Regions from separate parts of the Mus musculus genome. Here region 1 is reported to be linked to region 2. Evidence: microRNA targets listed by miRTarBase, many of them from high-throughput screens and not tested one by one. Region 2 holds a microRNA gene; the other region holds the end of a gene's coding sequence.

The links. Region 2 holds the annotated microRNA mmu-miR-5125 (UCUGCCUGGGAUUUCCUUGU, at 1,724-1,743, opposite strand). A microRNA usually pairs through its seed, bases 2 to 8, with sites in the 3' UTR of a target mRNA and lowers its output. Matches are read on the target gene's strand: a 7mer-m8 pairs with bases 2 to 8, a 7mer-A1 pairs with bases 2 to 7 and ends in A, and an 8mer does both.
Region 1: the mRNA of Lpl is a reported target of mmu-miR-5125. Seed matches in the 3' UTR shown: 7mer-m8 at 449-455 and 8mer at 984-991.

Annotation. Positions count from the first base shown.
Region 1 is chr8:68,904,300-68,908,299 of GRCm38, forward strand. Lpl (lipoprotein lipase) reads left to right here. Exons shown (of 10, transcript NM_008509.2): 10 at 207-2,633. The coding sequence ends at 207. Among named protein-coding and RNA genes, the nearest start is that of Lpl, 26 kb to the left of the region's middle.
Region 2 is chr17:23,820,944-23,825,081 of GRCm38, reverse strand. Mir5125 (microRNA 5125) reads right to left here and starts at 1,791; the gene lies at 1,713-1,791. It overlaps Srrm2 (serine/arginine repetitive matrix 2), which reads right to left. Exons shown (of 15, transcript NM_001368687.1): 11 at 3,392-4,138; 12 at 2,382-2,669; 13 at 1,178-1,291; 14 at 962-1,066; 15 at 341-866. The coding sequence ends at 857. Elob (elongin B) reads left to right here. Exons shown (of 4, transcript NM_026305.2): 4 at 103-342. The coding sequence ends at 215.

The DNA of each region.
Region 1 (4,000 bases), not on the chromosome of region 2:
ACATGACCTGGTCTTCTGAAGATGATGCTCAGATGGGGGCCTCTCTATTTCTGCCCCAGGAGACTACTGCTTTTCCACATCTATAATCTGCACCACACAAGCTCTGTTCGGAACGTCACTGCTTCCTCCTGACAGTGCTGGGGAGGGAATGGATTTGTAGAAGACAAAGCAGATGATTAAATAGCCTTTCTTCTGTATTTCCTCAGACACTGGACAAACAAACAAGAGAAGAAAGCATCTGAGTTCTTTGAAGACAGAAGAAAACAAAGTAAATTTAATTTAAAAAAATAATACCCTTGTTTGGGTGTTTGAAAGTGGGTTTTCCTGAGTATTAATCCCAGCTCTATCTTGTTAGTTAAACAGAAGACAGTCTCAAATATTAAACGGTGGCTAACCCAGGGTGAGGAATCTAATGGCCCATAGCAGGTCTTCCAGCATTAGAAGACAGCAGGCAGGAGAAACATGCTGTCTTGTATCCCTTAAGAAGGAATCATTTGCTCCCAACAATATAAGACTCCATCATGTGACCCATTTGGTCATGGTCTAAAATTAGTAAGAACTCTGAGGTTTTATATTGAGACCTTTTCAAAGTTTTCTCAAAGTCTAATATAGACAATATTTTTTGTGGCATAAGTCAGGTCCATTTCTTTAGTGATTGAAACACCTGGCCTTTGCAACTAGTTTTTTTACCATTGGGATATATTCCCCCCACCAAAAAAAAAAAAAAAAAAAAAGTAACCAGGAACGTGTGACTTGGCAAAAGCAGTTGAAGACATGGCTCATGAAGTCCTGACCCTTGGTCCCACCACAACAAAGTACAAGTCAACAGAGATACAAAACCTAGACTGAGTAATTCTTAATAGACTTGAATTTTTATGACTTAATCCTTCTATCTTTTAAATATTTGTCAGATATTTTAACATTGTTCTCTGGAGCTTGTAAGCTGGGCAATGGTGGCACTCACCTTTAATCCCAGCACTTGGCAGGCAGAGGCAGGAGGATTTCTGAGTTCAAGGCCAGCCTGGTTTACAGAGTGAGTTCCAGGACGTCCAGAGCTACACAGAGAAACCCTGTCTTGGGAAAAAAAAAAGAAGAAGAAGGAGAAGAAGAAGAGGGAGGGAGGGAGGGAGGGAGGGAGGGAGGGAGGGAGGGAGGGAGGGAGGGAGGGAGGGAGGGAGGGAGAAGGAAGGAAGGAAGGAAGGAAGGAAGGAAGGAAGGAAGGAAGGAAGGAAGGAAGGAAGGAAGGAAGGAAAGAAAGAAAGAAAGAAAGAAAGAAAGAAAGAAAGAAAGAAAGAAAGAAAGAAAGAAAGAAAGAAAGAAAGAAAGAAAGAAAGAAAGAAAGAAAGAAAGAAAGAAAGAAAATGAGCTTGTAATTGAGGTGACACATAAATTTTGCTGAAAGACAAAAATGCCTAGGTTGATTTTACTTCTTCTCTTTTTTGCTTTCTTGAAAAAAGTCACAATTGTCCCATGCTGTAACCAAGTCTGGCCTCGAACTAAACTATGTATTTCAGGCTGGCCTTGAACTCTCAACCATCCTGCCTTAGCTTCCTGTGTCCTGGGAGCTTGAGAACTGTAATTTTATTATCAGATTTTTCTTACTTGTTTTCATCAATTTGAAATGCCCAATATCCAATACTTTGTATTTCATTTGAGACTCATCTCCGCCATGCCTCTGTCACACTTCTAACACATCACATTAATTTCTAGTTTAGATGTGATCAAGTTCAAATTCTGCACTGTGCAAAGTACAAGTTTTAGAGCAGGACCATTTTTTTTTATCACATAAAAGTTGAAATTACTAGAAAATGTGCATATGGATGCTTGTAAACTGCTGTGCAAAGAGAAGAGCCCTCAACTGTAATAGCTATAGAAAGTACCAGGATTGTTGCCGCTGTTTTGTTTTACCTTAACAACAACAACAACAAAAATCAATAATGAAGAATTATTTATGAACGAGATCTCACATTTTCAGATTGCTTTTATTATTCATTAATGTAAAATGATAAAGAAGATCTATCTCAGAGGCTATAGCTGGGAGCAGAAACTGTGAAATTTGTGGGTATCTGAACACCAACCCACATGCAAAGCCCCACAAGTGTAGTCGTCATTCAATGTGATTCAGAAAGGAAAGAGTCAAGGGATATACTGGAATATGTTAGAGAAGTAGTTCCAGATATGCTGGAATGTTAGCCCTTGCTAGGAGAAAGCTGGTTGTGCCTATGTAATATAGGACAAAGGTGACCGATTTCATCAAGTTTGGAGTCAATTCTAACAATAAAAATATGTATAATTTGTCACCGGCATCCCCATTATTGCTAATTCATTACAGTATATACACATCCATGCATACATATGTCAATGATGCTTTAGCTTTCAATTTATTTATTAGCTGTAAATAATGTGTGGGTATGTAAGAATGCTTGTAAACACTGGAAAGTCTGTTGTGGTTATCTGCAGTATAGATTTGTGGTGCTAACTTTGTGTCCGTCTCCATCCATGATTGTCTGTCTCACTGAGCCAACTTAACTCTGATGAAACAGTACAATGAAATAGGCTTTTGAAAGAAGAAAACTCACCTGTGTGAAGAAATGGTATCTGCTTTCAATAAAACTGAGAACATTTTATCATGATACTAAGTCATCATTTTGTATCATTTAGCCCTTTCTAAAGAAGAAATTAGATTTATTCTTAGGCCAGATTCAGACAACAAATTTTGACTGAATAACCACTAAAACATAGAAGTAAAATAAGTTTCCCATTAGATGTCTGCCTGACCAGCTAAGGAAATCAAATGGATCAATGTAATCTCAGCTCCTCTGCTCTGTGACAGTGCATATGTCCAGACTTCCCAATAAGCTACTGCTACACTTTGGGTACCAACAAGTTTATTACATCTCCCATCTTTTTTTTTTTTTCTCACAATACTCTAGATGGGACACCGCATCTGGAGACTAAGCATATATGCACATACACAGAACAACGGGACCAGGACCAGAGCAGAAATCAGTTTCCACAGTTGCTCCAATGACTGCTGACCCTTGGTGTCAATACCCGAATATGTGTAGTCTCTCCCTCATAGATATATGTGACCAAGAGCATGCTGAATAAGTTATAGCATATTGTTCTAAAAACTCAGGTTATTGTAGACTTCACCTTCCACTGGGGTCCCTCTTTCATGCTGACTCTGTCTTGGGGCACTCACCTGGAGGAATTCACGTTAATAAAACTCTAGAGAGGACCATGCGATACCAACTGCAGCTAAGACCATTCAGAGCCCAAAACTGGAACTCTGAGCATATGAGTAATTTGAGCTAGCTCCCTTACATCTAGTCAAGCTCCAAGGGCATAAATGAAAGATACATAGTTTGCTTTATCTTACTAATTTACTCCGTGTAAGTAAAACATTTATAAGTCCAGGTTTTGAAAGAACCAAGGAAGGTTAGTTACTCCTGTACTGAATTATCTGCAGGGTGGGTTTAATTTCCAATACTTTCTTTCCCTTTCTTTCTTTTCTTGTTAATATAGAACATAGAATTTATTACAGAGTAAAGTAGAATAGTCTCAAGGGGTCAGAGTAGACAATAGCCAAAGCTACCATGTTGTGTTAGAGACTAATGCACATACACAGAACAACGGATAAATGTAAAGCTACCATGTTGTGTTAGAGACTAATGCACATACACAGAACAACGGATAAATGTGTGCTTACTCCAGATAGGAACTGACAACAGAACAAATTAGTGCTATGACTGAGTTTAGTGTCGTTACTTACAGAAATATGAGTGAGGGCTTACTTACACAAGCTTCATAACTGAAAGAACACTCTAATGCACGTGACAACTCATCAAAGCTGCAGCCCTGGGACTCTCTGAGTGACTTGCTGACAGCTCACCAGGTGGGAGAGTCTGTTTCCTCCTCAGTCCTTGCTACATATATCAACAGTGGGGAGCAAGGGGCCTTGCAACTCCACTAAGGTTCAGGGTAGTCTTGATAGCTA
Region 2 (4,138 bases):
CATTGCCAAGTCAGGCAACCAAGGTGGGGAGGGTTATGGCCTTGATGGTTGATACAAGTCAATGAATGGAAACGCTGAGAATCTTCTATACCCCTTCCCCAGATGACACCTTCGAAGCTCTCCGCATCGAGCCCTTTTCCAGCCCTCCAGAGCTTCCAGATGTGATGAAGCCACAGGATTCTGGAGGCAGTGCCAATGAACAAGCTGTGCAGTGAGGGCCTAGGCCTACCCCCTAGAGACCCATTTCCCCAATAAAAAAAATTTGGCTGTCTACCTGATTGACTTTTCTGTTCCCTCTTGTTCACAGAACTCTTAACCCCAAGTAAAGACTACAGACCAATTACTGCATTTCTCATTTTTATTTGACAGAAAAAGTTGCTTTTACTGTACAGATTTTAAAAAACCAAAATGCCTTAAACAAAGTTGGGGGGGAGAGGGCCTCACAACCTTGTAAGGGGGTGCAGCAGGGCCAACCAACTTCAGCTCCTTCCTCTTTCAGGAAAGATTACAACTTACCAAGTTAAACCATCAGTCACCCAAGAATTTAGGGAGCTAACTCCCTGGATCATCACAATCTGAGGCCTAGATGTCCTGAGCTGTGCCCCTCCCTCCCTAGACTCCCTCCCTCCCACTCCAACCCCCAAAACACAAGAACCAGGAAAAACTCACAGAGATCAACATTTCACAGGAACCAAAAAAAAAAAAAAAAAAAAAAAGGGTGGGTGGGAGAGGACGCTCTCCCCTCAAGATGCTGCCAAGGTTCAAGGGAAGGCATACAAAGACTCCTTCCATGATTCTTCTGGGAAAAATGAGGAATACTCATGTCTCCAGAGTATGAGGTGTAGTGGAATCCAGATTATGGAGACCTGGAATAGAGAAGACTGGTCATTCTGGGTCACCACACATATCCCTATCCCTAACTACTAGCTCTCAGAAGGGCCAGACTTCCAAGGAGACACACCTGGAGGAGCGGTGACGATTAGAACGGGGACTAGGTGTCTCCTTCCTCTTGTGACCAGGAGAGTGACTGTCCCCTCGCTGGCCTCTCCAGGAAACTCGCTCACTGCTACAAGAGGAGAAATTAGGTCACAGAACAATACCAAAAACTTTTAAATTTTGCTTACAAATTAATGGTAGCTAGTTGAGTCAGGTTGCTAGCACCTGCTATAGGCCCTACCTCTGTAGATCCCTTGGTGAAGGTTGGGGCGAGGGCTGTCGACGCTCAACGGGTGAGTAACTGAGGGATCGGGAATCCCGAAGGGAGTCTATTGGCTTCCGAGGACTTCGAGACCTAGGAAGCAGAGTAGGCCTCTATAGCTCCACATCCTCCCAAACCCACCAGCCAAGCATTCAGGACCACCCACCCAGGTCCTGACCACCAAACCTCACACCACACAGGGCCAGCCTCAGACCCACCTTTGTCCGCACTCACCCATCCGCCCGCACACCATCCACCGAGTACCCCAGTGGACAGGGCACAGGGTGCAGCGGGGGATGCAAAGATAAAAGAGTCCCTGCCCTTGGAAGAATTTTGTTTGGTAGTAAAGGTTAACAATGAAGGCACACACGCCCCCTACATAGGAAACAGCCCAGCAGGATGGATATGCATGGGCCTGGGGATCCAGAGAAAGGATGGGGACCTGGGCAGGACAGGGAAATGGCAGGGCAGTCTTCTCGGAGGTGCTGTTTGAATGCAGTCTTGCAGAACGAGTTCACCAGGCAGACAAGGAAATCCCAGGCAGAAGGAACAGCATGTCCAAAGGCATGGGGCTCTCCTTAGACTGCAAGGCGCTGGGTATGGCCGGAGCACGGGGCATGTGTGGGGGCGGGCAGGAGGAGCACAGGGCGGGCAAGGGCAGCTGGTGAAGAGCCTCACACGCCATTCCCGCAGAGGTGGCACTTTATCCTGCAGGCCACAGGGCGTTCCGGAAGGATTTGTGGAGTGAAGGGAAGTAACCAGATGTGCGTTTTAGAAAGATCCCTCTGGCTACGTGTGGAAGAGAATGGCGTGGAGGCAGGGAGACAGGGAGGAGGCTGTGGACAGAGTCGGGAGAAGATGACGGTGGCCAGACCAGAGCCCTGCAGCAGCAATGGGGAGACTTAGAGCTAGATCTCTGAGACCAGGCTGCTTGTCAGGGGAGGGGAGAGGGAGGAAGAATCCTATGACTTCCCAGATATGGCCTGGGACACCTCAGTTAGATAGTGCAGCCCTTGACCAGAATACAACACTGTGGGAGGATGGGAGGAGTCCGGCACTCCTTCTCCCGTACAACCAGTCACAGACGTCCACACGAGGCACCCCAGCAGGAACCTCACCCAGGGTCCCCTTTCTGGAGAACTCACCCCAACCCCCCTTCCACAACAGGCAAGAAAGCACTCACCTCCTCTCGCCAGGGGGTGGCTTCTTGGGGCTTGCAGGTTTGGGTAATGCCTGAGGGCCAGGCTTAGCAGGGGAGGGGGAGGAGGAAGAGGAGGAAGAAGAGGAGGAAGAAGAGGAAGAAGAGGAGGAGGAAGATGAGGAGGAGGAGGAAGAGGAAGAAGAGGAAGAGGAGGAGGAGGAGGAGCTGGAACTGGAGCTGCTAGAGCGCCTCTTCCTTTTGGCCGGGGTTGGTTCCTGAGGACGTCCCTCTCTAATAGCCTCCTTTGGGACTGGGGTGGGGCTGGGAACCCTGTGAGAGAAGAAAGGTGTCACAAGGAGACAAGATGCCCCAACCCCAACCCTACCTTCCTTGGCCTGGAGGAACGGCAGTGGGGGAGGGGTGCCTGAGAAAAGCCCTGGGAAAACACGAAGGCAGGCCAGTGAGTAGTACTTCTCTGGAGCAGTGGCACAGAGCTGACCAAACCTCTGCTAACACAAGCAACAGGCTGGGGCCCGAAGCACAAGGGATCAAGGTTAAACCTCAAGAATGTCCCTGATGAAGGATTAAGGCCCCTGGACTCAGATGTGGAAGCTGAAGCTGGGTGATCTCCTTCCTTGGAGAGCCGCAGCTTGGGGAGGCCCCTGTGAGTGCAGGTTGGCTGGGGAGGGGCCGTCCTGCCTGGAGGCAGGGAGAGGGATGGGATGACCTCTGAAGATCCTTCCAGCCCAGGGAGTTCCTCTTGAGGTCTAACTGCCATCCCTCCTGCTGTAAAATTAAGTCCATTTCCTCTAGTTCTGTCCTCTGTAGAGATGGAAAACTTATCATTATCCTCTGGAGAATTAACCTTTGGAGACTTTTATCTGTCCCATTCCTCCCCACAAAGCCCCCGCCCAACATTCTTTCTACTCCCAGCTTGAAGGCCAAGGTCCCCCATACTTTCTCAAAGCCAAGTGCTTTTGACAAGATTTCTCCCTCCCTACTCACCCACCCATTGTTAAGTCCCTGCTCCCTAGATCCCTTAATTGCCTCACCTTTTCAGTGCCACCTCAGGTTGAGCTGGAAGGCTGGAACCCTCTGAATCACTAGAACTGGAGCCAGAGGAAGAGGAGGATGACGATGAAGATGATGAAGAGGAGGAGGAGCTAGATGATGATGAAGAGGAGGAAGAGCTCCGACGTTCCTTAGCTGGTTGCAGAGCAGCCAATGTAGAAGGCTGCTGGGCCCCAGTAGAGGCAGGTGGCTCCCCACCTTCAGCATGGGATATCCCAGGGGCAGGGCCAGAAAGCATGCCATTGTGGTCACTAGCAGAGGATGTGGACTTCGCTACTGTCCCGGATGAAAGGGACTGAGACCCTGCTACAGGAGTGGTCTGGACAACTGAACGAGATTGGTCTGAAAAAGCAGATGGCACAGGGGACCGAGGCCGATCCTGTGCAGGAGGGAGAAGAGATTGCGAAGAAGCCTGAACCATTCTTGAAGCAGGGGAAGGAGCCCGCTCACGCTCAGAGGTCATTCTAGACTGGCTTGGGGCAGATGGTGGTGTTCTGGACCTGGCTCGATCAAGCATTAAAGGTGAGGTTCTGCCACTAACACGATCATAAGCAGAAAGGGGCACCCTGGGACTGGTGAGGTTTGCACCAGACAATGCTGGAGCCATCCTGGAACTGGAGAGATTTGTGGGAGCCAAGCCTGCAGGGGTTCTAGAGCCAGCAATATTCACAGGAGCTGTGCCATGCGCAGATCGAGGACCCACCACCAGGTTTGCGGGGGTTGGAGCC